Coturnix japonica: one gene and its partners. The protein of the gene in region 4 purifies or fractionates together with the protein of the main gene of each other region. This does not show direct contact. Links are inferred from orthologs where the notes say so. Each region holds a gene or a part of one and is shown on either strand. Other genes may lie near its edges. The genes, in order: ORC2, CEP63, TDRD3 and FXR1.

Evidence for each region.
Region 1: the proteins of FXR1 (region 4) and ORC2 purify together in Homo sapiens (affinity purification with mass spectrometry; 4 studies listed by BioGRID and IntAct, with this or other methods). This does not show direct contact. The link is inferred for Coturnix japonica from reciprocal best matches to the Homo sapiens genes FXR1 and ORC2.
Region 2: the proteins of FXR1 (region 4) and CEP63 purify together in Homo sapiens (co-immunoprecipitation; 3 studies listed by BioGRID and IntAct, with this or other methods). This does not show direct contact. The link is inferred for Coturnix japonica from reciprocal best matches to the Homo sapiens genes FXR1 and CEP63.
Region 3: the proteins of FXR1 (region 4) and TDRD3 purify together in Homo sapiens (affinity purification with mass spectrometry; 3 studies listed by BioGRID and IntAct, with this or other methods). This does not show direct contact. The link is inferred for Coturnix japonica from reciprocal best matches to the Homo sapiens genes FXR1 and TDRD3.

The regions. Positions count from the first base shown.
Region 1 is NC_029522.1:9,811,537-9,818,267, forward strand, and holds the end of ORC2 (origin recognition complex subunit 2), read right to left. Parts: intron 6,130-6,731; coding exon 5,983-6,129; intron 5,351-5,982; coding exon 5,179-5,350; intron 4,881-5,178; coding exon 4,819-4,880; intron 4,085-4,818; coding exon 3,966-4,084; intron 3,280-3,965; coding exon 3,193-3,279; 3' UTR 2,130-3,192; downstream 1-2,129. UniProt on the Homo sapiens protein: Component of the origin recognition complex (ORC) that binds origins of replication. DNA-binding is ATP-dependent. The specific DNA sequences that define origins of replication have not been identified yet.
Region 2 is NC_029524.1:2,641,463-2,649,166, forward strand, and holds the start of CEP63 (centrosomal protein of 63 kDa), read left to right. Parts: upstream 1-3,402; 5' UTR 3,403-3,685; coding exon 3,686-3,729; intron 3,730-5,156; coding exon 5,157-5,337; intron 5,338-6,063; coding exon 6,064-6,159; intron 6,160-7,704. Other genes in the region: LIPH (lipase member H), read right to left, coding at 536-587; ANAPC13 (anaphase-promoting complex subunit 13), read right to left, coding at 2,140-2,265, 3,198-3,296. UniProt on the Homo sapiens protein: Required for normal spindle assembly.
Region 3 is NC_029516.1:145,181,040-145,188,884, forward strand, and holds the start of TDRD3 (tudor domain-containing protein 3), read right to left. Parts: upstream 5,180-7,845; 5' UTR 5,094-5,179; intron 3,803-5,093; exon of another isoform or gene 3,799-3,802; 5' UTR 3,737-3,798; intron 1-3,736. UniProt on the Homo sapiens protein: Scaffolding protein that specifically recognizes and binds dimethylarginine-containing proteins. Plays a role in the regulation of translation of target mRNAs by binding Arg/Gly-rich motifs (GAR) in dimethylarginine-containing proteins.
Region 4 is NC_029524.1:15,045,252-15,052,368, reverse strand, and holds part of FXR1 (fragile X mental retardation syndrome-related protein 1), read left to right. Parts: intron 1-955; coding exon 956-1,008; intron 1,009-4,201; coding exon 4,202-4,295; intron 4,296-5,589; coding exon 5,590-5,661; intron 5,662-6,202; coding exon 6,203-6,351; intron 6,352-6,992; coding exon 6,993-7,086; intron 7,087-7,117. UniProt on the Homo sapiens protein: mRNA-binding protein that acts as a regulator of mRNAs translation and/or stability, and which is required for various processes, such as neurogenesis, muscle development and spermatogenesis.

The DNA of each region.
Region 1 (6,731 bases), on a different chromosome or scaffold from region 4:
AGAAAGCAGCACTGCCACAGCCTGAAACAAGCGCTTATGTTTCCATTTTTCTACTGGAATAAAAATTGGAGATGATGCTCTAAGTGTAATTGCACACCATCTTCCATTTAAGTACAAATGGAGAAAGATGGCTAAATTCAGTATTATTTGAAACTGCTGAGGTGATAAAAAAACAATCATTCTTCTCAATGCCACAAAGACAGCTAAGGATCAAAGTGAGGGAAGATTTCTTCCTTCCCAAATAAAAGAGGGGGCTGCACAGCTATCAGAGCAATTGTTTTTGAACTCTACAGCTAATGTAGGCCTGGACAGTTTTAGTGGTTCTAATGGTAGCCTAAGAAGCAATAGGCGGGATCTAATGTTTCACACATTTTTTATAATTGCAGCCTGTAAAACACAGATGCACAGGCCTCCAAAGGAGAAAGTCAGTTGGAAATCATAGAAACAATTGAGTTCAAAGGGACTTTTAGAGGTCATCTAGGGCAACTTCCCTGTAACGAACAATCTACAGTTAGACCAAGCTGCTTGGAACCCTGTCCAGCCTGATGTTTAATGTCTCCAAGAACAAGGCACCCACCACCTCTGGGCAACCTGTTACAGTGCCTCACAACCCGTATTGTAAAAAGCTTTTCCCTTATATCCAGTTTAAAACTCCCCTCTTTTACTTTGAAACCATTACCCTTGTCCTGTCATCACAGACCCTGCTAAAGAGGTGGTCCCCTTCTCCCTTATAGCCCCCCTTCAGGTACTGAAAAGCTGCTCTCAGGTCTCCCCAGAGCCTTCTCCAGGTAGAACAGCTGCAGCTCTCTCAGCCTGTCCCCACAGGGGAGGTGTTCCATACCTTTGATCATTTTTGTGGGCCTCTTCTGGATGTGCACTAACAGGTCTACATCTCTTCTGCACTGAGGACTCCACATCTGGATGCAGTACTCCAGGTAAGGTCTCAACAGCACAGAGTAGAGGGGCAGAATCACCTTCCTTGGTGGGCTGACCAGACTTCTTTCATTGCAGCCCAGGATACAGTTGGCTCTCTAGGCTGCAAGGGCACACTGCTGTCTCAAGTCCAGCTTGCCATCCAACAGTACACTCAAGTCTATTTTGGCAGGGCTGTGCTCTATCATTTCATCTCCCAGCTGCCATGACCGAGGTGCAAAACCTTGTCTGCCTCCAGCTCACCATGCATCCAGCAGGACGAGAGCCTGCAACTGTGATGTCTCTTGTAGCTAGAAAAAGAAGGCTTTGTCAACAGGCTCTACCTGATCAGGCAGCCTGTAGCAGACTCCAACTACAAGGCTATGTTTATTGCTTCCAGTCTCTAACTCACACATAGACTTTCAACTTGCTTGTGGCTGTTTTTCTGGAACATTGATGTAGAGGACAATGCTTCCTCCTCTCCTTCTGTGCATGTTCCTTCTGAACAAGTTGTAACTGTTGGGAGCCACAATCCTGTCTTGGGAATCATCCCACTAGGCTTCAATGATGGCAATTATGCCATGGTTTTTAAGTAGCACAGTCCAACTCCTCCTGTTTGTTTCCCAAGCTGTGTGTGTTGTGTAGAGGCACTTCAGCTGGGCAGCCAGCCTTGGCTCCTTCCTGGAGGAGTCCTTCATTCCTTTAAGTATTTTCCTTGAGTTTCCTTGTTGTCTTTTCCTGTTTCCTCAGATGTTCTGGGGACGGAAGCTGGAGAGCACTGCTGGCAAGCACCAGTTTACCCTCCTATCACATTTCAGCAAAATGAAATAGCTCCTATATTCGAACAATCAATTTGATAAATAGATATTCCATGTTTTCAACACAAATCGAAGTCAGGTTGTAAATCTATGTCCTATTGCTTCTGCCAGTGAGGGGTGTAGTGGGGGTATAGCACTGAGAGGTAACAGTAGTATTACATGTGATGTTTTGGTTCTTTTATAAAGCTATACACAGGCATTACAAAGCATACAAACTATTATTATTTTTGGTACCTTCAAAGAATATAGAATACTTTTTAAAATTAGTTTGAAGTCTTTTGCCCCTTGCACAAGGATTTGCACAGATATTTGACATAAGAATGAAAATGAGGCTTTCATGTAACTTCCAAGAAAGATCTCTATCTTCCCATAACATAAAAACACATGTGGAAAATTAGATAAGCTAATGAAAATTATTAAAGAACTTTATTTGATTGATTTGAACTATTACAACGTTGAGCTGTAACACAGCTACCAAGTGTCAGACATTGGAGTCCCTGAAGTCTGATTAGCAGACTACAGTTGATGAAACTAGGGCTTACTCCACATACCTGAGAAACACATTGAAAACCTGTGAAGCTTCAGCACCCTCCCAATCTCTAATGGCTACAAAAAAGGAGAGCTTGTTAAGTGGCATTTAAGGCCACCTCCACAATCAATGGACACTCCCAACGTAAAAAAATACATATATACAATCAATCTATTTATTTTTAAAGTAAACTAAACTTCACAGCCTCTTCATATTTCCAGATTATAAATTGGAAAGTAGATGAAAGAAGCTGAAATATCTCACCCTCACCAAGAGGTCATCAAAACTGCGATGGACACAAGTTGTTACCTAAATCCTCTTATAAAAGAATTCCATCATGGGGAAAAGTCCTTCAGTTCCACTGTCAGAATTTAATAAGTTACCCACAGCATCCCAAACCTGCTCATATTCCTTGTGCAATCAATACAGGTCTCTTAGCATTATAAAAATGGCTTCTTCATATGCTGGAAGCCAATCTTGTCTAGCTGGTAAAGGAGTGCCACAAAGCACTCAATTGAGGAAAAAAAAAAAAAATCCATCACTGGTACAAACTAAAGCTCTGACCATCTTGTGGTTTGCACTTCTCACATGAACTACTCCAACCAAACCCTCATGTCTGGTAAAGAGCAGAAGGCACAATCTTACTGAGTTAGTTATCCTGACTGTATAGTTGGCTACGCAGATATGAAGATGGCATCATCTGAGCTAAGAGACAAAGCAGATAAATCTAACTTCAGAGCAAGAAATAGCTTGCTTTAAGAAGTTATCATTCCAAACTACCTGAAGCGGATGAACAAGAAACGTTCATTACAGTTAATACATTTCAGTAAGTAGTCCAGCAGCTTTGAAGCTGCAGAGAAAGACCTGAGCATAGGCCCCTCTCCAGCAGCCCTTGAGAGCAATTGCCGTAGTTGTTTTGGGAACAGACAGACGTTATACATCTTCATCCTCTTTCTCTAAGAAGTCGCTCAAGGTATTGTCATCTACAGGTACTGATAAGTACTCCACACCATCAGCTCCCTGAGAAAAGATACACAACATACATTCCGTTAACACTGGTGCATAGTGCAATGCAAGCCATTAGATAGCACTGCAACACTTACTTTGAATACCTGCAGCCAGGATGAGAGCTGGCAAGCATTGTGACTGACTACACACTGCTAAGTCCAAGCACATTTCCCTAGAGCAACACTTGAAAAGCACAAATACTGAAAAAATGCAAAGCTTCTGGCGGGCTGTGCTATTGTATCACTACACACCTCCTCAACACCATATTCTCACATCTACCATTGCTACACTGCCTCATTATTAGGACTCTATACTCTTCTGCCATGCAAATACAGGTAACATTCAATCACACCGTCAGGCTCCAACATCCATTACATCTCCAAGTCTTCAGGAAGTTGTGTTCTACAGAGACCCATAAGTTGCTGAGTTAACTAAACCACACTGTTGTTGCTTTGATTTGGTTGTGTGTTTTTTGTTTGTTTCTATAGCTCCTGTACTCATGAAGGGTGCTCATGATTGAGGTTATGGAAAGAGCTGCTATTACAAAATTTCAGCACTTTGCTAGTGCCCAGATGCTTCAAAATGCAAAGCCTCACTGTGAGCCACACACTTGCATCTTAGGTATGCTCTTACAGAATAGAGCAGCTTTTTATTTGACATAACTGAACCCCCAGAATTACTGTCTTTCTGCAACTCACCCGCTTGGTCCGAATGAGCTTGTGGTCCCTGAATTCTGTCAGCTGTGCCCTGAGTGTTAGGTCACTGTTTACAAGGAAGGCCTCTCGACACTGCTGGTAGAAGTCTTGGAAAGAGAGGCCTGGAGACAGAGACGGTGAGAACAAGGATCTGAAATTGTAAGTTTGCCCCATTTTTCCATGTCTAACTGTGAACTTTTTTCCCTACCCACAAATGTTGCTTTGGTTTACACCACAATGTTTATGGCAACAACATCACTTCAAGTACTCAGCCAAGTTAATATTTCACTAATCAACAGAAAACAGTTGATTTAACATTCCAGACACGCTGCCTGCCTAATAGAATTTCAATGGCACTTCCCAACAAAACACATCTCTCAATTTCCAACTGCTCCATCTCACTTCCATCTTTCTGCACCATTAACATGCTGCTCATCCTCTGCAGCATCTGTTAAGACCATGACAGTGCATTCCACATGGACCCTAGAAAGCAGGGACACTTTAGAGATTACTCGGGAACAGCATGGAAACCAAATCTCCTGTTTTTCCCCGGTTCATGAAGCACTACTATTGTGCAAGCTCATATTCTCCCTTGATTTTAATTCTGTAGCCCCACAGTCACCCCAGTGGTCCCAATAATGTCTAAACATGAAAGCAGACAACATTAAGAGAAGGCTAGAATGAAGCTAGTCTATCCAGCAGCAATAAACAGACGATCTATACTACCAAGACTCACTGAACCAACAAGTACAGGTCTTTTTTTGCTCATGATGCAACCCATACACTGAAAGCCAGTGCCACTGTGACTGAGCTAGCAATGCCATCCCAAACAGGTGAGGTAACAGTAGGTATGCACCTGAGTAAGATGCGTTGTCCTTGTTCTCCAGCTGGTACTGAGCAAGCAGTCTGAATATTCCCCTAAGCAGAGAGATGAGAAGGGGAAATCCAAAGGAAAAAAAAAAAAAAAACATTAGCAAATACTAATTTATCTTTTATTACAAGGACTCATGTAGTTGCTGGCTAAAGCTTGCTTCCATTTAAAGTAATCAAACACATGAAAGCTAGGTCCCATCATTTTCATCTTGAAAACTGCTGTCAGAAAACAGGGATTGCCTCCTGGTAGGTGTATGCTTAACAGTTAACACAGAAGTCCAGAGTAACCTAATGAAGACTAGATTCTCAGCAGGTTCTACTGTAAAGTCTATCAGTGTCTTACCTGGCATTGGGAGTGAGGCTGCGCAAGACATGTGTTAGGGAGCTCAAAGCCAAAGATCCAGATTGCTGTACTAACAGTGAGTTTTCATAAGATGTTTCTTCTACATAAGGACTAAATGTTGTCGTCTCATACCAAAGCCAATTGTAGAGGCTTTGCTTTGCCTGATCCCACACTACACAGAGAGGAAAAAGAACAGACAGAAGTTGGAGGGTTAGCTTTTTTGGGGATATTAAATAAGCAATATTATAATATACTTAGATCTACTGTAGTATTTGAGGAAGAAAATGTATGCTTGTGAAATTCACAGTACATACACCTAGATGCTGCAGTTCAGGCAAGACAGCCCTCTGCAATGGAAAATTTGCACACATCCTCTTTACACACCAGCTTCATGGATACGCTGTATATTGTTCCAGAATCAGCAGTAGGAAAAGCATTTTTGATAAAATTGTTTAGATGTAGTGACAGATCTGGCATCCAATCTCCATTTCAGTAAGTCACTAAATAAAAGAGTGCCACAGGCTTGGAGGTTTTTTTCTTGTTTTTTGAACATTCTTTTTTTCTTGCTCTTATGGTGCTTTTTTTTTTTTTCTTATACTATAATCAGAGACTGGTAGTTCTTAGCATCTTTATACAATTTGGGTTGCAAAAGGCCACAGTTCCAATCAGGGCTTCCAACCACTACAACCATACATACATCACCAGGTCTATTTTGCACACCAAGAGTAATCCGTGAGCTTATGAAACATGCACTGCAGACCTACAGTAGAATGCAGATTCTACATCAGGCCCAAGAGGACTCACTGAGAGGAGCATTGATGTGATCGATAGAAGCAATGAGGTAAATGCTAGGCAGAGAGGATAACTGTGCAAGGATCTGCTGACTTCTTTCTCCTCTCAACATCTGGCTGTCCAGGTTATGAATGAGGACATAGAGCTCTAAAGATGAATCTGCAAGGTCAGAAAAAACAGCACAGAACTGATCAAAGAAACCGTACACAAAGCAGCTTCCCATCCCCAGTGCAGTCTAGGACAAGTCTGTTCCATTGGGCTCAACATTTACCACCCCAGTATCAAATGACTTTCCTTGTACAGCTTACTTTGATTCCTGTACCACACTATTTCAGAGCAACTAAAATGCTTTCTCTCAATTCATTTTATTTCCATTTTTATCACAGCTGCTTTTCTTCCTGCAACTAAAGTTTTTATTTAAAACAAAACAAAACTTTCCATTTCCTCAGTGTATTACCAGGGATTGTCCTTTTCGCCATGGTCTTCAGCCCTGAGATTCAGGTCATTCAAATGTATTTCAGGAGAGAAATCTAAACACAGTTTATTCAGCTGCTTTTGAGTTACAGGACTAGGATCCTTAAGCCCCTTCTCACAGAACGGAAACACATTTTCTATACAGGACAGGATTCACAGCAAGATAACTTAATTAGAAATCTTTCCCTCTGAGCACTCAAAGAAACTTACAAAGACTTAGCTTGGATAATGTAAATAGTAGATGTTAAGATTTCCAACTTAGCTTGTTGCTGCTGTACTCAGTCCCA
Region 2 (7,704 bases), about 12 Mb from region 4:
GATGAGATCTCAGCCTTTGTGAGAATCCTTTGCATTGTTCTAAACCCTGTTTGTTTCCCCCTGCAAAGAATAGAGCTGCAGCTTCACAAAGCAAGCGACGCGCTCCCATGAGTGCGCTAACAGAAGGCAGCACATTTGTTGCTTATTAAACAGGTTGATTCTTGATGGGGCCACGAGGATACCAAGTGAAGTTTAGCGTTCATAAATGCTAATTCATCCTTTGTGGCTGTCATGTAACGCGCCGCTGAAAAGAAATCAGTCTGCTCTCAAGATTTCAGATGACGTTTTTCAGTGTCGATGGATGCTGCTTATATAAGAGGAATGTTTGCAAAGTGAAGAAGAGATCATACAAATGACTTCTGGCTTCATGTCTTCTTTAGTTCATGAAACCAAGACAGTTTGCTTTAAGAGAGACAATGCTAGTTAAAAACCCTACACAGTAACCTTATAACGCAGAGGGCAGATAGGTTTATGCTTCTGCAAAGCAGAGTAAGCATTATATTGAACAAAAAAATCAAAGCAATTGACTTCCTACCTGTTTTCACCCCATACAAAAGGCAGAGGAACGTGACACACAGCCTCAGCATATGGGCTCCCACATGGAACTTGTAGAGGTAGAAAATCTTACGGATCCCGCGGTTTCTTTGGCACGTATTCGCTGCCTCTGACAACAGTTTGCTGTCTTTTTCTTCCAGTAATGTAGGTGTGGTGAAAGGAGGAAGTTCCCAGCCAAGAAATAAAGATGGGGCTGAAGTTATACAACCAGCTCTTCTTTCTCAAAAGGTGGGGCACCTTCTCTTGTAGCAGGATCCCTTGTTTTAAAGATTGTTTGCCCAGGGCTGTGACTAATCAAAGGCAGGAACGGTTCAGTATCACGCTGTAAGCAGCACTTTGACTACCTGTGTTGAAATTACTGCCTGCCTGTTCGTCTTCTGCTAAGAGTGTCAAAAGGGAGTGAAGGACGTAGGTGTGCAAAGCCGATCGGTATCTGGGCAGGGCCAGCACTCAGCTTCCCAGGACCCACATTGGTAGCATTGGGACACTCCCATCCGTGTTCCTCTGGTTCTCCCACGCTCTGTCTGTCTCCAGCAGGTGGAAGCCCAGCATCCCTTTTAACCTGTGAGGTCCTTCATGATTTGGATGGGCACCACTTTGTCCTGACAACGTTCCCAGTTCAACTCAATACGTGCTGCCAAGGAGCTGCTGTTTTGGACAGCACTCACACATCTGACATATCCCCACCATGTTTTCTTATAGCCCTGCTGGAACCTTGTGAATTCAGCTCCAATTCAAGCGAGAAAGGCTTTTTTTCCCCCCTTGCTAGACAGTAAGAAGTGGGCAGATGCACAGACAACCATCAGGGCTGGGAAAGGAAGCCTGAAATTGGAGCTGGAAAATCCTGTGGCAAAATTGGTGTGATGGGGATGGAGCCTGTGATGGAGTGAGAGAGGGGAAGGGAAGAGAGAACAGAGACGGCTGCTGGGTACACAAAGCCACCACGCAGCTTCTAGTGTTTTCTTTGCAGGGAGAGGGAACATGGGGAGGATCAGAAATACCTCATTAAGCCCAAGCTCTGTTTTGCCCCCTGCTGAGATACAGCGAGGAGCTGAACTATTACAGTTCCCAGCAGCGTAGCTGTTTCTAAGGTCTATACTGTACATATGAAGCTTGGGTTAATCCTGAGCAGCCTGCTGGCTGCATGCAGCTCCTTCTTGTTCAGATGAGCTCACTGCTGGCTCAGAGCAGGCACTGCTGACTCCTCAGGCAGGGGCTGCCCCAGCCACTCAAACCAAGCATCCTCCTACTCAGCGCCCATGTCCTCACAGAACATCCAACGTGCTCAGCCAATAGGGATTTTGAGTAACCATCATTTGAGCACAAATCGCACCATTTAAACAACGTGTAAATATACAGTGGTCAGCACTGGCAGCGAACTCTAACACAAAACACAGTTATACCTCTTGGGACATAAACCTCCACGGTCACAAACATCCCATCCCCAGTTTTGACATATAAGAACAACTCCAGATGGTGAAAAAACACATTTTTTATCATGTGTAGAAAACACTTAAGAACAGAATTGGCACCAAGTAAAGAATAAGTTAACAGAGAATTTGTCGTGAAATGCCCCCGGATTCATCAGTTTCCTGTGGGAGGGACGTTTTCATGGAGATACTGCAGAGATAAATCCGTCCACTTCATTTCTTGCTCTTTCACAGACTCAGTTGTGCCTCCATTGTCTTGCTCTGGTTCAGGGAGCTCATTCTGAGAACGACAAGAAGAAAAAAGGTACAATGCATTCAGTGCATAACAAGCTGCCTAAAAAGGAGCTGGTGACGAAGACTTCCTATGAATAAATACAAAAAAATCCACAAATGAGACTGGAGGGGGCATCTGAACAATACATATCATACATCCAGATTCAGTTAAAATATTACTGAGCCCAGGGAGGAACAATGTGCTTTTCATATGATTATGATGCTTCATCTGAAAGGTAAATTGGCTTTCCAGGGCCCCGGGGCCTTGCTATGTACTCAGACTGCACACGCAGTGAAGGAGAATATAGAGAAAATGCAAAATAAGTAAATAATAACACGGTGCAATTATTCCATTGCTTGTTTAGATTGTGGTTCTTTGTTGCTGCCCAGAATACAGATACTGCATTTACCGTAGCTCTATTAAGACAGCTGGCTTTGTAACATATCGCTTTCTTATGGCAAGGTGAGAAATCCTTCCTCTTGCTGCATGTGGAGCTCTGCTGTGGCTGTGCTGTAACAACAGGAGATACAACACCAAGCTGCTCAGCATGCAGGGGGGAGGAAGGAGAGTTTAAATGCGATTTCATTTGACTTCCTCGTGTTATTTGCTCCCCGTGTTGCTGCATTGGTTATTATTGGTTTTGGAGGAGGGCAGCTGCTTCCTGCCTCCTCTGCTGAGAAGGAGCTGCTCTTCTTCCAAGAGTGATGCCACACTGTGCTGTAAGGGCTGAATGATGTCACTGCAATTTGGCAATGTCTCTTTGCAGGCATTATCAGATGCCGTGATTTTGGCCGGCTTACACCTGTGCGAACAGGGAAGGGGAGGATCCTCACCCAGAGGGTGGTGACGCACTGAACATGTTGCCCAAGGAGGCAGTGGATGCCTCATCCCTGCAGGCATTCAAGGCCGGGCTGGATGTGGCTCTGTGCTCCACCTACCAGCGGGATGGCCACGTCCTCGTACGGCAGCTTGTCCTCCCTCCACGCGTCATCGATCAGGTCCAGGATGCGGCCGTCCCGCTGCACCTCGCTGTCCATCCTCACCCTCCGAGGTAGCTCCGTACCAGCCCCGTCCCGCGGGGACTCGAGCGGCCCCAACGCGCTCGGTTCTGCCGGCAGCGCTCCGCCCCATCCCGCAGCGATGTTCCGGCGCCCGCTGTACCGTCATCACCCGCCGCCGCCTCCGTTCCTTCCCCTCCCCGGCCGGCAGCGCCCTGCGGGTGGGCTCGGTGCGGTCGGTGCGGTCCGCTCACTGTGCGGTACCTTCTTGTTCCGTACAACCAACCATTTCTCTGCCCCGTCACTTCGTGTCTCTGCCCTTCCTGCTGCCCCTCTATTTCCCCCACCTTTCCCCTCCCGCTGCCCGTGGATGCGGTGGCCGCTGCTTTGCGTGGTTTCCCCCCTGCTGACCCCGCCGGCGCTGGGTGATGGAGGCTCTGCTGGCAGGCATGCAGAGGAATGGCCAGGGGAGGTATGTATGTACGTATGTATGTATGCACCGCTGTGTGCCCGGCCTTTACAACAGCCTCACCGCGGGGCTTCCCTCTTAACGCTCCTTGCCACTCTTCTGCCAAGCTCCCATGGTGTCAATGAGACCCTCGGTACCTTCTGCAGGCGGATGGATGCAGCGCACAGCGACGTGGCTGCTTCGGCACTTTGCAGCGGTCCCTCAGCGCCTTGCAGTCTGTATTTTGCCTCTCTAAGAACGTTATCCCTTTGTTTTCCCCTTTAAAAAGCCCCCTCCTGCCTTGCAGTGCGGTGCTAAGTAGAAGAGTGAGTAAATCCTTTTCTTAAGAGCCCGGTGAGGTTAATGAGACATGCTGAGAGCACCTGATTACTTCCTGCTTGTGCTGGAGCTGCAGACACCCTGAGGAACCCTTAGGTGAAGGCTTGTGGGCTTGGAGATGGAATAACAAGGCTTCATTTATCAAACAAACACAAAACTAAAGGCACTGACACCATTTCCATTGCCGTCTTTGAGGAGGTGACTCAGTGCTGTATCTTTTGCAGTTAACTGGTTGTATAAATGCAGTCTAGACATAGCTGTGTATCAGCAGATGCTGAGCAGGAGGTGTTCTTGCTGTGCATAATAGCTGCTAATTTTTGGGTAACTCGCAGGCCGGGGTGAACATCCAATTTAACTGCTTTTGGCTGCTCTGAGAGCTACTTCTTTCCCTATAGAAGATCTGTCAGCTTGTGAAGGCTGGGTATGTATGCTCTGGGGGAGCAGGGAAATTTCAATCCCTTCACCTATTGATTTCCGTTCCTTTTCAGAGCCTTCCATTTGACAGTCAAATTAAATGGGTGAAGATGATCATGGAGTTCACAGCCCTCCAGGGCTGTATCTTGCAAGCCTTCATACCGTCCTTAGCTTAGCACTTGTGAAGTTTTACAGGGCTTGGTTGAATTGGCTTCAATAATTACTGCACAAATTAGAAGCTGCGGCATCGCCAGGGAGCGTGCTTTCCCCAATGGGTTGGGGATGTTTTATTCTTCATTATCATGTTGTCATCCAACCAACGTAGGGGTTTGTCTGCATTTGTGATATGCTTTTGTTTTCGGGAGCTGAGAGGTTTCTCTGGTGACTGAAAGGGGGTATAAAAGAGCATTAAGGGGAAATGCAAAGTATGGGCAGAATAAGTTGTGGTTTATTTAGGTAATGCGTAGTACCAAGATAAAGGGACCAGTGGTCATAGGGGCTTGCTGTGACATTAGAAAACAAAACACACTGCATGTGCTCTGACTGGGGTTTCCAAAGCATGCCCCATTAGTCACTGCCAAGTTTAGGTCTCTGCCCAGCGATGTTCCGCACCAATCACTGGTGTCACTGGTGTCACTACTGTGGGGATGTGGGACCTCTGTGCTCCTCTTTGTGACCTGAAGCTCTGTCCCTTCCAGCAGTGGGTTCCTGACATCCTGCGAAGCTGAGCTGCAGGAGCTGATGAAGCAGATCGACATCATGGTGGCTCACAAGAAGGCAGAATGGGAAGGACAGACCCAGGCTCTGGAAGCTTGTTTGGGTGTTCGAGAGCAGGAACTTTCCTCTGCCAGGGCTGCACTGGAGGAAAAGCATAAAGAGGTACGTAAAGGCTGAATGTGGATCTGCGTTTCTGTTTGTTTCATCAGATTTCAGTTGAGTTTTTTCTGCTGTTTCGTAGAATCACAGAATGGCCTGGGTTGCAAAGGCCCACGATGCTCATCCAGTTCCAACCCCTCTGCTATGAGCAGGGTCGCCAATCCTGTTTATTGGCCCACTGTGTTCTGGACCTGCAGTTAGGAAGGTGATTGTGGATGGGAAAAGGGAAAAGAGTCAGGGGAGAAAGGAAGAGGAATGGGAAGATCTGGATCAAGAGAAGGGAAACCTTTCCCAAGAGTTTCAAAGCACTGCTTCTTTCTTTGTCCATGTGTTATTTGACATCTCTGCTTCATCCCACTGGGGTAAGAGGATGGCACTGCCATCTCTTCCCTTAATAGATAGTTTGAAATCATAATGGATACTTATAATGAACATGAAAATGACATTGTCACAAGGCAAAAGTGTCAGCTTCATCTCAGCCAGCGGAAGGCAGACACAGCTTGAAAACACGAGGCCAAATCTGAGACTGTTCTCATCCCATCCAACCAGAGATGTGGACATAAGCTTAATTTGTTTCAAAAGGACTGACCCCAGCTTAGAAAACTGGGATCTCTTAACATTCCTTTGCCACTTCCACTACTGTGTATACTTATGAAATGAAGACTAATCCCTCTGTTTGCTGACAGTGTGCTCTGTCTCAGTTCATCTGCTTTGTAATTCTTGGTTCAGGTTGGCAAGTTGCGGCAGCAGCTGGAAGACACTGAAGCAGCCAAACAGGACTTGGTTAGGGAATATGAGCAGCAGCTGAAGAAGTTTCAAGAGGAGGTGAGTTTCAAAAGGAGAAGGTCGGTTTTTAATTCCCTGTTGATATGTGACCAGGTAGGTGAAATGTTTGGCATCATTGCCATTGCTTAAGTGCCATGGTTTTAAAGCTTCCCATTCTCTTCTCTTACAGAAGAGAGCACTGAGCTCAGAGTGATGTTTTTGTGCTTTGCTGGCCCTCTTTTGGGCACATCAGGGGAACGTGGTGACAAAGAAATCTGCAGGAATAAGAACATGTTCTAAGCTGCAATTTCCATGAGTTAAACATCTGCAGAGTTTTAGTGCAAAATCTTCCTGTATTTGCCAATCATAGTCACCACAGCCCTCATATGGAAGTTGCTATGGGTACAGGCAGCAGCAGTTTGCTCCTTCAGCACTTCCTTAAATTAAAATGGGTGGTGGTGGAACCGGCCTTGATTGTATGGAGAAACTGAGATCAGATCAGTACGCAGCCTCATCATCATTTTGCTTCCACTGAGTCTGATTTTATTTGACGGGACCTGTGTTCTCTCAAACCATATCAGTTTGCAAGAAGTGATTTCAGAGCTTCCATCTCGACAAGCTCCTTGTTCAATGCAGGGTGGTACACACACAGTGTCCTGCAGGTGGAACAGCAGCATTCCATGTTGGTGCCTTTGTTCTGCCTGTCTCCACTTGCTTGTCAGAAGCATTGAGTTAAGTGGCATGAGCAGCCAGCAGAGCACTGACCTTTTCTCCCCGGAGAGTTCAGCTTGGTTGATGCTCACTGTGAGCCATAACTTAAATTAATTTGGTAGCCTCAGCTTTGGTGACAGAAGGCATCTGTCCTCATTTACAACACCTTACTGCTCAGTGTGATTAGCAGGAGATGTTCCAGCTGAAATAGTGGATAGGCTGCAGAGCAAGGCTAAGGTGCTTTGGCCAGATCAGGCTATATTGCAATGGCTAGAATATAGTGTGTGTCTTGTGGTTAAAACTGCACTGCACTGGTGTTTTACCCATGTAGATGGCATTAAGCTGCAGTGTTCCTTAGTCTGTTTTAGTACTGTTTGGGTAGATAGATTTTATCTCAGTTTACCACCATCACCAGTAAAATTACAGGTACAGTGTCCACCTCATGGAGGTTGCTGAAAGGATAAACCAGTGCTTGGAATCTGCTGACTCATTTGGCAAAACACATTCTCAATGAATGTGCTTAAGCACCTTCCTGACTCAGGACCCTGGAGAACCTTTCCTGACCACTGTGTGGATCCGAATCATGGGGTCTTGATTCAGATATAAGTTCTCCATGGGTTCCCAAATCGGGAATGATGTCTTCTGAGGTTCATAGGGACCATTTGGAAACTTGTTTAAATGCTTGAGTTGGGGAGCTCATCAGATGGAGAAATCTGTGCAAGTTGCGAGTGGTGATTTGCACAGAGGGTCACTTAAATGTCAGCAGTTTTCTCCTCACTTTTGCTTCTGATAAGAGTTCAGCATTCAAGCAGTAGGCGTAGGAGTGTTATTTTCTGTTGGCATTTTCCAGTTATTGTGAAGTACGTCGTGTATCTGAGCAGAGGATGACAGATG
Region 3 (7,845 bases), on a different chromosome or scaffold from region 4:
TTGAACCCTCAGAAAAAAAAAAGAGATGTTCCAGATCAAGACTGGATAACAGAACATCCAATAGCAAACCGACTTTCTTAATCACTGTGATTGCAATAATATATAGCCTTTTAATAAATCACTCCCTTCTGATCTGAAAGCTATTGGAGTAACATTTGAAACAATGCCCAATAACTACCTAATATAACTGCAATAAAACTAGATAGTATTCTACTGTTTACAACACTGTTTTCCTAGAGGCATTGCTCTGACACACTCAACATGATCTGAAAACAAAAACCCAATCTTTTAGAAAGATTAAACCGAACATAGCTAGCGCTATATACTTTTTCCTCAAGAATACGAATGGAAAAATAACTCTTTAAAGCTCCTGAAACAGGCATTAGGAGAGTTTGAGGACAAGAGCTTAACTTAAAGCTCATAAACAGCTATAAAATGACTATTACTCTGTTTGATCCATCAGCATTACTGCATGCATTGACAGAACTAAGCCTTGTCAAAATCATCCTCCATTGGAAAAAAAAAAAAAGTATATATATATATATATATCAGGGAAAAGAATACATAATTTTTACATACACAGCTTTAAATAGCAGGACATCTGATATAGCACTGGACAGTAAATGCAAGCATCTCTAGACTGGAACTACTTCATGGAGACCAGTTGTAGCTGAAATAACAAATCCAATCATACCTTACAGCAAAAAAGTCTGCAAGAAACCAACAGACATCCACAGAGAGAGCAGAAGGCAACTAAGCACTGTTAGTTATACCGATGTATGGACAGGAACCAGGAAGCATAAGAGCAACTTCAAAGAATAATTAGAATAGGTGACGAGTTATGTTTTAACTGCTTACCATCAGCTTATCAGTACTCAGGATTTCACTGATCAGATAAATGCTTTATTTCTGAATGCTTGAGGAAGTAATGCTTAAATTGTAATGGAACACATATACTCAAAAGAAAATGAAGTAAATGTAGCATCACTGCTGAATAACATGTTCTAATTTTTTATAAGGCCTCCTTGTGTCTTTATTCCACTTAAAATACTTCACAAATATTCATGGTATACAGTCATTTAGATGGAAATGAATGTTCAGCTTTTTAAATCCTATGCAAATACGGCCATCTTGTGGCTAGTGCTGGTAGTATAGATTTTTTTAAAGCCATACAGAACAGATGTAAATAAATGATAAAATATTTTTATGTATTAATGACAATCACCTATGACGGTCAAGTAACCATACATTTTCTAAAAATATTTATCTATTGCATTTATACTACACAATAAATTTACTTTCCCTGCAAGATGGAAAACAGATCACACATTCTTGAGATACAGATACATAATGCGGATAGAAATTTTGTATGAGAGGAAAAACTATAGCATGAAATTTTTTGATCTGTTCTGAAGCATTTCTGAACTACAAACGACTGCCTTCTACCAACAGATTATATAGACAAGTCACTCCTGTCCCAATCAAGCCACCACTGTACTAAAAGGACATGACATAGTTGCCACTACTAAAACCTTGTAGGATGATTTCCACAATTGGAGTGCAGCTATCAACAAGTACAAGCTGTTCAGAAGGTGAGGAAGGACGGGAGAAGGCACTGCCCTTCACACTGAGGAAGGAACAGAGTGTAAAGACCTGTCCCTGAAGAATGGCAAAAGACCAGCATAGCTGAATGGGGATCTGCTGGTCAAACCAAAGAACAGGAAGACACAGGCAACAGAAGCAGAGACAGGTACCCTGTGAAGAATATAGGGATACTGCTAGGCTGTGTAAAAATGAGGTCAGGAAGGAGAAGGCCCAACTAGAACTGAACTTAACAATGAATGCAAATAAGGGCAAGAAAGGCTTTTACAGGTACATCACTCAGAAAAGGAAAGTTCAAGAGGGCACATCCTCACTTATGAGGAATAAGGGCAGGCTGGTAACAATGAACAGAAGAAAACTGAGGGACTTAACTTTTTTGCCTCAGTCTTCACTGGCAACTGCTCTTCACACACCCTTCAAGTGGATGGGTTGGAAGGCAGGAACTGGGGGAGTAATGTCCCTTGCACTGTAAGTGAAGATCAGGTTGGCATTCACCTGCAGAATCCAAACATCTATAGTTCTATGAACTGATGAGATGCATCTCAGAGTCCTGAGGCTGGTGTAATGGCCAAGCCTCACTCAATGATATTTGAAAAGTCAAGTCAGTCAGGTAAAGTACCTGGTGACAGGAAAAAAGACAGTGTAGCATCCACTTGTAAGAAGAGTAGAAAGAATGAACAAGTGAGGCGCTGGAATAGGCTGCCCAGAGGCTGCCAGTGCCTCATTTTTGGAAGTGTTCAAGATCTAGTGCTTGACCTAGTAGTTGGCAACTCAGCCTACAAGAGGGGTTTGTAACTGGATGACCTTTGAGGTCCCTTCCAACCAAAGATATTCTACGATTCTATGACTCACCTATGCACTGGGAAGGTCATGGAGCAGATCCTCCTGGAAGCTATGTTAAGACATATGGAAGAGAGGGAGATGTTGTAGGATGTGTGCATAAGCATGTATTCACCAAGGGCAAGTCCTGCCTGACTGACCTTGCTATTTTTGATGGTGTAACTGTGACTGAGGACAAGGGGGAGCCCCTAATGTCATCTATGTAGACTCTAGGAAGTCTTCTAACATGGTCCCCCATAACATCCTTCTCACTAAATTGGAATGATACTAATTTGATTGGTTGACTGGTTGATGGATGAGTAACTGGTTGCAAGACTGTACCTAGAAAGTAGTGATCCACGGCTCAGTGTCCGGAAAGAGATCAGTGACAAGTGGTACCCCTAAGGGGGTCAACATTGGGACTGATGCTCACTATACTTGGTCTTGACAACAGTATCATCAGAAAAAATAAATCTGGACAAATTTAAACAGCCTCACTCATCAAGCTTGTTTTCTTAAAATAATTCTGCTTTGATTTACTGCCATACTCAATTTCAACAGTAATGTAATATGTTTCTCAAGAAATTTCACATCACCGATATATGTCATGAGTATTTGGAATGTAGGAATAACTTCTTGAATGGAGAATTACCACTACCTTTAAAATATAATTCCTTGATTTATCTTATCTGTCAACTGAATTTTAGGAAGAACACAGGAAGAGCACCCCAGTGAGGTCAAAACTCAAGTACTACATAAAGATACAACAAAAGTCAAAAATCTGGAACATAAAAGTATAGAAAAAAAGAATATTATATAGATTATAAAGCACTGTATCATCTGACATGGATTATCCATACAGACTACTGGTTACACAACAACAAAGTTTACAGCTTTAATCACGTATATCAGTGGATAAATCAAGGTATTACTAACATATATCATTATGTATCATAATCTCACAGCTACTTTGCTTTATGCTTAACATGCTTTGTTGTTCTCACGAGTGAATAAGAGGGGAAAAAAAAAAAAAAAAGCAAAAGCAAAAGCAAGGCACTTGATATTAACTCAAAATCCAACAGTTTAAACTGTTTCTGAGTGATAAAGGAAGCTGCTACGATCAATCACATTTGTTTAAGGACTTCAGAATTTAGAAATAGTCTATTACAGTCTAGTGCACAAGCTAATGTGTTAACATATTTATCCTCAAATATTGGTTTAATTTGTACATGATATAATGCCAAAAAGAGACTAATGCAGTACAGATAACTGTCATCACAAAGAAATCGCAACAAGAGAAGTGAATATTATCTACCTTTTCCACCTTTCCACCATTGATGTCACTGGGGAGGAATTTCTTGCCAATGGTTCTTAAATCTGTCTGAAATTAATATAGAAGACAACAGAATATAAATCTAAAATATCCTATTTCAAAGAAAACAATCATAAAACAAGAAAAAGAAGGGCTTCTGTAATGTCAAAATAAGGATACTCTACAGATATTCAGAGCACATACCATAAAAGAGAGCATAGACATTCAACTTACTTTCTGTTGCACAATATAGCCACAGAGTGATAAGAAAGTACATTTGGTTTTCAAACTGAGCCCACCCAAGGAAACCGATCTGTCGCTTGCCTGTTATTTACCTCTGAACAGCACAGCAACTCCTTTGAACTGTCCCTGCAATAATCTGTATTCGTACAGAATTTGACAAGTCTCCAGAAAGATGCTTTGCAACTACAGCAACAAGGAAGGAGACAGAACTTTTACAAACCCTTTGCAAGATCTTAGACAAAATAAAAGCATTTGAAGAACTGAAGGCACGCTTACATTTCTTTCATTCCTATTCAAGCAATACACAAAAAAACATCAGTTGGCTTCTTGGTTTCTTTTGACTTTTAACAGCCAATGAGAGGTGTGAATTTTTAGGAAGTGGAATCTAAACTCTCTTTATCCTGCTTTTCAAAACACAATGGTATTCCCTACTTATCCAACAGGAAACATAATCTCCTGGGAATTTAAACAACAACTAACTTAAAGACAAAAATACTGATAATCCATTAAGATTGGCTTTGGGTACTTTCATAATATTTCTGGTTTATCTTGGTTATCTATCAGCCAAGCTGGAAATACAACACACAAATTTGTTTATTTCCTCGTGGCAGAAATAATTACTAAATCAAGATATCTACAGTAATTGAAGCAATGCTTGTAGTTACATAAATAAGAACGCATCATAGCAAACTCAATGTTTGCTTGAACAGGCTTTAAAAAATAGCATACCCAGAAGTCAATTTAAGTAAGGGTGTTTTACTAATCCTAGCAAGCTGATATTTTGTTCTATAATTTCTTAAATCCATACACAGCACTTCTGATTTCATTTCAAGTACTGCTTATACTTTAGATTTACATTTCCAAAACACAGAAATATCTTCCTACTGCAAATGATTCTCATTTTTCTCCCCATTAGGCTTCTAGTTGGAATAGGCGTCATTTCCAAATGAAATTCAGAAATAATTCATACATTCTGGGAAGGAGAAAGGTGCTTTGTCCTTTATGTAAATCGCACAGACAACAGTGTATTTAATTAGAGTTATAGACTTCCACCTGAGCCATCAGATATATTGTTTTCAGTGTGTTGTCAGAGAAAAAGTTCACAATCATAACTTACATTAAGTGCAACTAGGATAATGTCATTCGTATTGACTTTTTCAGATGAATTTATGCAAGTTTCGATTCCTTCATCTGAAAGATACCTGTGTTAAAGAAAAAAAAAAACAGACATATTAGGATATACATGATGTATGTAATAGGTGAATATCTGTTCTGCATGCAAAGATCATTTTTAGTTTGTATTTTCTATGTTATGAAACATAGGAAGAAAAAAACCACAAACAACCACATCAGTTTCTAAAGAGCAAGACGATGCACTCAAATGCTTTAAGGAGGCAAATATTATACTGTCATTCTACAAACTTTCTTCTTGCTCACCTAACCTACAAAATAACTTGTAGAAGTGGATTTGTATCTCCACATATCCCAAGAGTCAAATGTGGTGAACAATTTTAGAAACAGAACATCTCTGGAAGCATTTGAGATTTTCACAGTGGCAGTCCAGGATCACCACCTTCCTGCCAAAATTCTGTAAGCATGCAATAAATCTAATCACCTGGCAATTAAAGAAGACCCACTGAAAGGATGTGCATTATCAATTTAAAAGGGCTGACACATTCTCATGTTCAAAAACACTTAAGGAGAATGTAAGTTTTACTTGAGCAGTTAGAAACTGTGACATTTGTTGCTCAATTTGCCTCCTACTTCTCACTACAACCCCTCAGTTTTCATTCCCATGTAGATGGAGATCTGCTTTATCTGTACAGTTCTGCCTTTTCTTTAAAAACATCAACAGCAATCATTACACTGATAATTGTCAGACTCTGAATCTGAAACACAGAACTTGCCCAAATAATATTCATGTACCAATTACCTAACGAGAAACCATTATTCCTCAAAGAATAAATAACCATTAAAGGAAATAATAATAATAATAATAATAATTAAAGTTTAAGTATTCCAGAACACTTAAAGAAATATTTAAAGAGAATCATTCCCAAGTGTAAAATAAAATCATATAAAGATTTGAACGAAAGCAGACTCAATACACCTTTTTAATTCTAGCTCAGCTAACATGAACGTTGCCCTGACAGTGCTGCCAGACTAATTAATGATCCTCGTTGTGCTCTGACCCAGACACTTGATAGCAGTGTAGCTGTTCAAATCAGACACTGACACTTAGCAAATCCTGAGGGACCAGAACTCGATAAATAACTAAATAAATAAATTATAATGTGGAAGAAGCAATCCTATTTTTTCATACGGAGCATACACTAGAGAATAAGGTGGCAGGATTTGTTAGTCCACGCAGGAAAGCAGATTTCTCAACTGAGTGCCTCTGAGCTTGGGTATCACCACCTGTGAAGATTCAAGTGGTAATTCCCACTTGGAATTCTCAGACAGACTTGTTAGCTGGAATCGGAATGTAAAGTAGAACAGAAATCACACACCCTACCAGAGGAAATGGGAACAGGTATATTCTATAGGCAGCACTACACACCTGGGGCCTCAGCTGTGGATTAATTACACCAGTAGGGTTTCCATAAGGAGAAATTTAATAGAATCTGCAAGTCTACCTCCTATAATCTTTAGTACAGAGTTGAGGATCAGTTGTTTCAGGAGTGGGTGGAATACAAACCCCACAAGCTGAATTTCAGACAAGTTGTGGAAACATTCCTTCTCTTGTGCAAATTAAGTAATTCTTTGGTTCTGCTGAAGCTAGCAGAACTGCAATTCCATTATGAGCTACACAGTGTAGTACTGAGATGCAAGCACTAAGATTTATCAGCAGGAAAAAAATATATTCGTTAGAGAGTGAGTAAACAACAACCTGACCCAGAATTAAATTTTCCCTAGATAGGATAAAATTGATTACTTCTGCTACCATAAAACTCACTGCTGAGTCGTGTTTCCATCTCTCACTTAAAAGTGAAGGCTAAAACACAGCTGATAAAATTTCTTAGTTTCCTTTGTCTCACTACTTCATAGAATCATAGAATGGTCCAGGTTAAAAAGGATCACGGTGATCATGGAGTTTCAACCCCCTGCTGTGTGCAGGGTCACCAACCAACAGACCAAACTGCCCAGAGCCACATCTAGCCTGGCCTTGAATGCCTCCAAGGATGGGGCATCCACAGCTTCCTTGGGCAACCTGTTCCTGTGTGACACCTCCCTCTGAATTCTTCAAATGGTTTGAGACAAAATGATAAATACACATATGCACATTGAAAAAGGTTTTTCTTTTCTGACTTGTTAATATGTCAGTTAACAACAGCACTTAAGAGAAACATTGCACACCAGACTGAAATCTCCATCCACATTACAGAGGAGACAATAATGAAATGCCATTTGAGGACACCTTCTGGCTTGATTTAAGGAAACACTACAGGTTCTCAGCAAAAACACAATAATCAGTTTTTAAATTAGTCTTCAAACTAAAATAAATTTTTAAAAAAACAAAAACAAAAAAAAAAAAAACAGCCAATCAAAACAGCTTTCCAATAACTTCTCAAGTGGTGTTTCTGTGTAACAGAACATATAAGTAAAACAATCATCAGAAATGGTCAGGAGATTAGTGAAGAATTGCGATTAGAAAAGGCTGTATACCCAGACGGAACCAAAACACACATTTCTTCTACCCAGACAGAAGCCTGGAAGGAGTGCATGTCAAACTAATGATGTTTTAACCATTTAACCCTCTTGCTGCTTCATACAAGTAGTATTCCTAATACATATTTTCTTCAAAACTCTGCAAAGTTCTTTAAAATAAGTATATTTGTTCTCCTTATTGTCTATATTGCCTCCTGTAA
Region 4 (7,117 bases):
ATGTAATCCATTAAGCAGGTTTCCTGGAGCCCTTCTTAAGGAACTTACGGAACCGTCTTCTCATCTGAAACTGCAGATTCCTTCTCGGTCTTCTGTGCTTGGTCACATACCAGCACAGGAGTCATTAGAAAACCTTTCCTTATTTTGTTATTTTTTGTCATCTTGTGCCTTTCTTCTGTTCCCTTGTGTTTGCAGCGTGCCTTCCTCCCCTGTCTACGAGATGGGGGCTCCTTAATTTCTGCATGGGTTTTGGAGTATAACTCTTTCCATCAGGTTGTTCTTTGTCTTCAGGTTTTTGATATAATCGCTGCACTGCTAAAAAGCCTTTTGTTTTTCAAAGGGAAGAAAAATGGGATTTTGCTGCAGTTGTTCCCAAGATCATAAAAATGTCACACGAAATAACATGAAACATCCTGTGTTCTTTGCTTTTCTGTGAGGTGCAGTGGGTATTTGACTGCACACTATGATGACATAGTGAAGAGGCCATATAGCAGCCTTTGGTGCCAAGTTTTATCCATCCTTCAGGTCCTGCTGTACTGAAGGGCAGTTGTTTGGGACTCTTATTTCTTTTTTTTTTGCTTGTTTGTTTAAGAAGTGAAAAATCAAACAGTGCTGTGCTCAGCTATTGGACCTTATTTTGGGATGGACTCCTTACCCTGGCACTGCAGCTGTCTCATTTTGCTTGTGTAAAGTACTTGTGCGTGCCTGTAAGGAAAACAGTAAACTTTGAAAGTGGTAATTCACTTGTAAATGTGTCTGTTACTTCAAATAGTCCACCTGGAACTAATTCTTAGAGCAGTGAGCTGAGAATGTGAAGCAGCCTCATCATGCAGTGGGATTGTGTGGGAGCTTTCCTACATTCAGACCATTACAGCAGTGGTGGTTTCAGGCTGTGCTGAAATTGCTGCCCTGTTGTGATTCCACGTGTCTTACAACAACTTTGTTTTTGTTTCAGGGATTTATCAAAGATGTTCATGAGGATTCACTCACTGTTGTGTTTGAAAACAAGTAAGTATTTTATCTTAAAAATCATTTGTGTACTGTTGTGTTTGTTTTGATGTGAAGGGGAAGTAGACTTGGTTAGAAAGCTGGTTCTAGGAATACGGGTTCACTGTTGTATTCAGTTTCCGTGAACTGATTCCTTAAATAGCTGTGGTGTCAGAAGTCACAGAGTCAATTAAGCACTCCTTGACTTCTTATTTTGATATTTTAGTAACGCCTGTGGATGCAGTGGACAGATTTAATTAGAAAGAAGTGGCAGCTGTCTATATTCTTAATACCTACAGCAAAGAAAGATGGAAAGTACTTGAGTAGCTCTGTTTCCTGAGCAGTTCTTTCTGTGTCTAACACGGGGAATGTGATCAGCACCATCGGCCAGAAAAAACAATACAAATACCCTGATGGAGTGACTTCTTTTAACAAGTGCAGGATATACATGCATAAAAAATCAACTTCCAGAAATGTGTCAGCTTTTGATGTGCAAGTGGTTCCTGAGCTGCCAGCACCAGCCTGCAGGTTCATCGCTCAGCCTTTCTGGAAGGAAGATGAGGAAGAGGCATAATAGTGGGAAGCTTGCTTGTATATATGCACAATATTGTATGAATGGTTTATGTAATGCTGGGATGTTTGTATGTGTATGTATGTGTAATGCCTGCATGAAAAAATCCTGGGGAAAAAATGATGATCCTGCTTTTTTACTCTGCAAATCTAGTCTTTCTTTCTAACCTGTTTTCTAGCTTTTCTTCTACAAAAATTGGTTAGAAGATGAAGTGGCAGCTGTAGCTAGGACTTCCTGGGGTGGTGATGGAAGCTCTTCATGGTGTTCTTAACACCCCACTCCTTCTCCATTCTCACTGTCCCCCACAGAACCCCACTGATCTGCTTCTTCATCCTCATCTTGTTGATCTTCAGTTTCACATTCAACATCCACGTTACTTTTCTGTAAGAGTAGATGTTCTTTGCCTTCAAGGCACATGCTTTCACACCACGAGCCAACTGAGCTAAAGGAAGTGCCTGTAGTTCACAGCAGGTGTTTAATTATTGGCAAACATGTTTCTGCTGGTTTATATCTGTGTCATCAATGTGTTTTACTGACTGTGTGGCAGCAGCAACTTCATTCTGAAAAGGGTGATCTACAACAAAAGTTGAGTGCTTTGCTGACCAAAAATAGACCTTATCAGGAAGTATGTGCTACTCTAGTTGTGCCATGATGTAAATCTGATAAATTACCCTTTTTACTGAGTTAAATTCATAAGGGCTTTAATCAAATTGGAATTGGCTGGAGAGTAGCATCCGGAATGCATTCTTCTGTTGTGATAGTGATCAGCACTTAGCAAAGTGAGTGTCTGCTAATGGCATTCAGTTCATATTTTCTGCTGTTGTTTACTGGTCCTTATCTATAGCTATCACAAGGTTCCCAAAGCTGGTGAACCAGCACCAACTGCCAGTGATGATTTTGCTGGTGAGTTGCTCCAGTTTTTGACTTCAGGCCATCAGAACTTTAAGTCATATTCTCAAAACCAAGCCTACTGTGTACATTTCTCCCTGTTTGTTATATATATATATCAAAATACCTTATAGCTGCAATGAGTGAGTCATTGCTGTACTGTCTCCTTACAGTAGATGGAGATCCTCCGGAGATGGAAGCAAAGCTGCTACATACAGCTCTAAGATTGTCTTGGAGTGCCGAGGTCTCTTCAGTTGTTGCATCTCATTGTGGGCAGTCTGTAACTTCTCTAAGCTCCCACTTGCTGGATTCATAACCTGCAGTGCACAGCTGAAATTCTCAGGAGAGCTTTAAGCAGCTCAGTTGTTTACAGCAATTTGTATCCCGTTGTTCATTTATGATCATTGTGTTGACTGTTTCCAAATTGAACTTTTATATAGCTTGTAATCAAGGGGATGCATTTTGTTCTCAACTCTTACCATTATCCTTTGCATCTGTGAGAGTAATAACTTCATGAGGGGAGGAAAAAGGCAGTACACAGATCCCGAGGTTAGTGACCATTGCAGTTACAAGCATGATTAAATCACAAGAGATTTTTTTCCAACCTCCTTGACTGTTTTTCAGAGGTAAAAATGAGATTTAAGTGACACTTCTTGACAAAAATACTTTCCATCTTCAACAAAAGCCATCCATAATGCTCCTTGTGCATTGGAGATGGTGTTTTTTCAAAGTTACCCTGTAGTTAGGAGAAAAGTGAACTGTACAGCCATGGCTGGGGCAAAACTGCAATAACCCTTTGGGTCTGTCTGTACCTGATGTGGTCTTGAGGGTGTTCATAAATGATTGATGTTGGAATACTTGGACAGGTACCACGTCCAAGTCCCTTGGATGTTGTAAGGTTTTTTGTTGTCATTGTTGGTGGCAGTGTTGGCTTTATTTTAGTCTATCTTCAGTTGGCATTTTGAGTTGAGAAACAGCTTCATGGCTTCCTGAAAGATTTATGGAGAATAAAGGAATTATAAGAGAATACTGAGGACATCAGTTACTCTACAAGACTTCATAAATACATCTGAAATGTACAGCTCTACAAATAAGAAGCCTTGCAGAACCAAATACAGAAAAATAAGTAGCCTTTCTGTACAAGAAGTTAGCTTATTAATTTGACATGCATAGTAGTAATCAGTATTAGTAGGCAGTTGTGTTTTGAAATGAATCTCTTTGCCAGACTCCTGTTGGAGATTGCTTGAAATAGTTGTAGATAAAATCCTAAAGTTTTATTAGGAAACACAGTTGGATTTTCCTGGAATGCTTACAAACTGATAGTAAGTAGTTACAATGGTGAGTGCCAATGGGATTGTCAGTGTTAAAATGCTGAAAAAATGGACAAACCTCAAGGTGGATTACAAGGATGAATTTGCACATTCCCAAGGCTGTCATGGAGCAGCACACATCTCAGTATGGCATCTGATCTTGTGGAGGGTTTATAAAATCAATTCAGTGGAAACAGTCCATTGAACTTTCTTTTGAAGTTAACTGAAGAAGTGTTCTGGTACTACATATCCTCCCAGCTATGTTTTTGTATTGACAGCGTTGTTTTGCAACTTTGCTTTTGAAGATTGCTTCCTGGGAATGAAGAAACAGGCTTGATAATATGAAATGAGTGAGAGTTAACTAAACTTAGAGTTCTAACAATAAAGACTTTAAGAAAACAACAGAAAAATTCTGGAACTGATGTGTAATCTCTTCAACTTTCAGTTGGCAGCCAGAGCGCCAGGTACCCTTTAATGAAGTCAGATTACCTCCACCTCCTGATATCAAGAAGGAAATTGGTGAAGGAGATGAAGTGGAGGTGAGTTGATCCAGATGTTGGCTAATGAGCTGTTCTGTTACATAACTGAGCGTCTCTTTGAGATGATGGTGATTATAAGTAGATTAGTGGGGAATGAAAATGGAGTGTGTCTCAAGTAATGGATTTATTAAGCTGGTAAATAAAAAACATTTGTGTTCTCTTAGCGCTTTGAAAGACAGCAGGTTTTGCTTGCAGAGAAGCTGTCTGAAATTAAGGGGTCTTTTTTTTCTCAGAAAATTACCAGTGGAACTTGATTTTCATCTAAAATTTGAAATAGAGCCCAGTATTTTAAGAGATGAAAACCAAACTTGCTAATTCTCAGTTCTCATGAGAACTGCTGGAGATTTTTAGTTATGAAAGTTTAAATATGTCTCAATAACCTGGGTTTCAGTCAGAGTGAAATATCTTGTCTGTAAATATCTTGGAGGGAACAGTGTGTATTAGCTGTTCTATGGAGAAGCAGTGTTAACAAGAAATCACACATTACACCAGGACATTATAAGGTGTGTGTTGTGTCCCTGGTGTGCCATAGTAGTTTTAGTGATTGCCACAGTTGAACGTCCTGTTTTTCTTGTCATTGAAGTCACGTATCTTTAAGATGCTGTTACAGTTCTGGGCATATAATGTAAGCAATGCTGCCTGTGTGTGCTTGATATTTCTATTTTTATTCAAAATGCATGGAACCCCTTGGTTTTGTTAGAGGTTAATCTCAAGGCATTTTTTACCTCAGATTTCTTCACTTAACTTAAATTTCTTGTTTAGTCTGCATACAAATGATTAGAAGACCAGGAAAACCAGAAAGCTTTGGATAGCACTGGTTCTGTATTTGGTCTTGTACTGTTAGTAGTGTTTGTTAAATAAAAATATGTGGTTGTTTGTGATGTCTTAAGTTTGTCAAATTATCCAAAGGCAAAATAAAACCTTAATTTTGGAGTTCCTTCTGTATGAGAATCTTTGGTGTTAAGAGAGTCTTTAAGTTTAGTGAGGAATCACCACTGAATTAAGTGTTTTCTTAAGGCTTTGTGTCCCTCTAGCAATTTCTGTTGTATAGTTGGTGAAATATAGAAAGGAAATCTGTCAATGATCCTTGCAAAGTAATGAGAACTTGTGCAAGAAGCACAAAGTAATAATATTGAAGGCAAAAGATATTTCTGAGCAGCATACTGTTCCATTGTAATGAGAACTAGAGGAGTTGAGATGCTCCTCTCTGATCATAAATGTAGGCAACTCAATTATGTCTGTCCGTGCTTTACATATTGTTTTTTCACTTGTGTTTAACTGCTTTTGTTTTCAGGTTTATTCTAGAGCAAACGATCAAGAGCCTTGTGGTTGGTGGCTGGCAAAAGTTCGAATGATGAAAGGAGAGGTAAACTCCTTACTGCTGCTTTCACGCTGCTTTGTTAGATAAAGTAAATACAAAAGTTCTTTATAATGCAAAAGATGAAGAAACTACCAGTACAAAAGTATGACAGGACAGATTTTTAAGCTGAGATCACTTTGAAATGACCCATGCTGTGTTTATACAACTGGGAGTGTGTTTTTATAGCTGAGCGGCACATTCTGATTATTAGTAATTAAAGTGCATGGAGAACTGTATGCATGCATGCTGTACATGGCTTCCAAAAATCCTTCTTTGTGAACTGAAGTTGGCTCTAAGAAATAATAAAGTAATAAGCCTCAGTTGTGATTATGATCACTGTTCAGACTGCAAATCTAATTCTAGTAGTTCAGCACTCTCTATCTACAAAAGTGCTTTGATGGTGGTTCTGTTTGTACCTACATTTCAATTGAGTGTAGTGGAAAAACAGTGGTTTAGTTTGTTTGTTTTTGCACGTGCAGAACTTGTTTTACTTTTGGCTTTTGTGGTTACTGAAGTTACCATTCAGAAAAAAACAATTCTTCCATAGTTCTACGTCATTGAGTATGCTGCTTGTGATGCCACTTACAATGAAATCGTGACTTACGAAAGGCTCCGACCTGTGAATCAAAATAAAACTGTCAAAAAGAACACGTTTTTCAAGTGCACGGTGGATGTTCCTGAAGATCTGAGAGATGCGTGAGTAGTTATGTGTATTTTAATAATAAGGCAATTCTTTTAATGGAAAGAATTTGAGTGGGGGTGGGGGGTGGAGTTGGGATGTTATTTTTGAGGGTCATGTGCAGCTCCATTAGGAATCATAAGGGTGGCTGTGGCTGCTGTAGCTGAGTTTGAATTTACTGGCTGGGGTCTCTGCTGAGGGCTTGGGCTGGGGACAGAAAGCAGATGCTCAGGTGGGATCTTCAAGTCATGCTGCAGGCTTATGTAGCTGATGAACTCACAGCATGTCTCTGGCTCTGAGAGATGCCTCATGGAGAAATAAACTCTGGCAGCACAGAAAGAGAGAACTGAACGTTCCTCACTATAAACTAGTAAAACATTCTGGGATCTGGTTTTATTATTACATGGTCAAAAAGTGATAGGACAAGGGGAATTAGATTAGGTGCTGGGAGGAAATTCTTCGCTCAGAGGACGATGAGGCACTGACTGAAGCCTCCCAGAGCTGTGGGTGCCTGGTCTGGGTCCAGTGGGTGCCATCACTGCCCATGGCTGAGGGAATGGAACTGCATGATCCTTAAAGGTCCCTTCCAACCCGGGTCATTCTGTTACTCTTTTTTGTTTTGATGCAACTTCTTAAGACAAGTCATTTATCTCTTTAGATGCGCTAATGAAAATGCACATAAAGATTTCAAGAAAGCTGTTGGAGCATGTAGAATTTTCTATCATGCTGAAACTGCTCAGCTAATAATACTTGTAAGTAACTATTTTTGTGTGAATGTTGCAT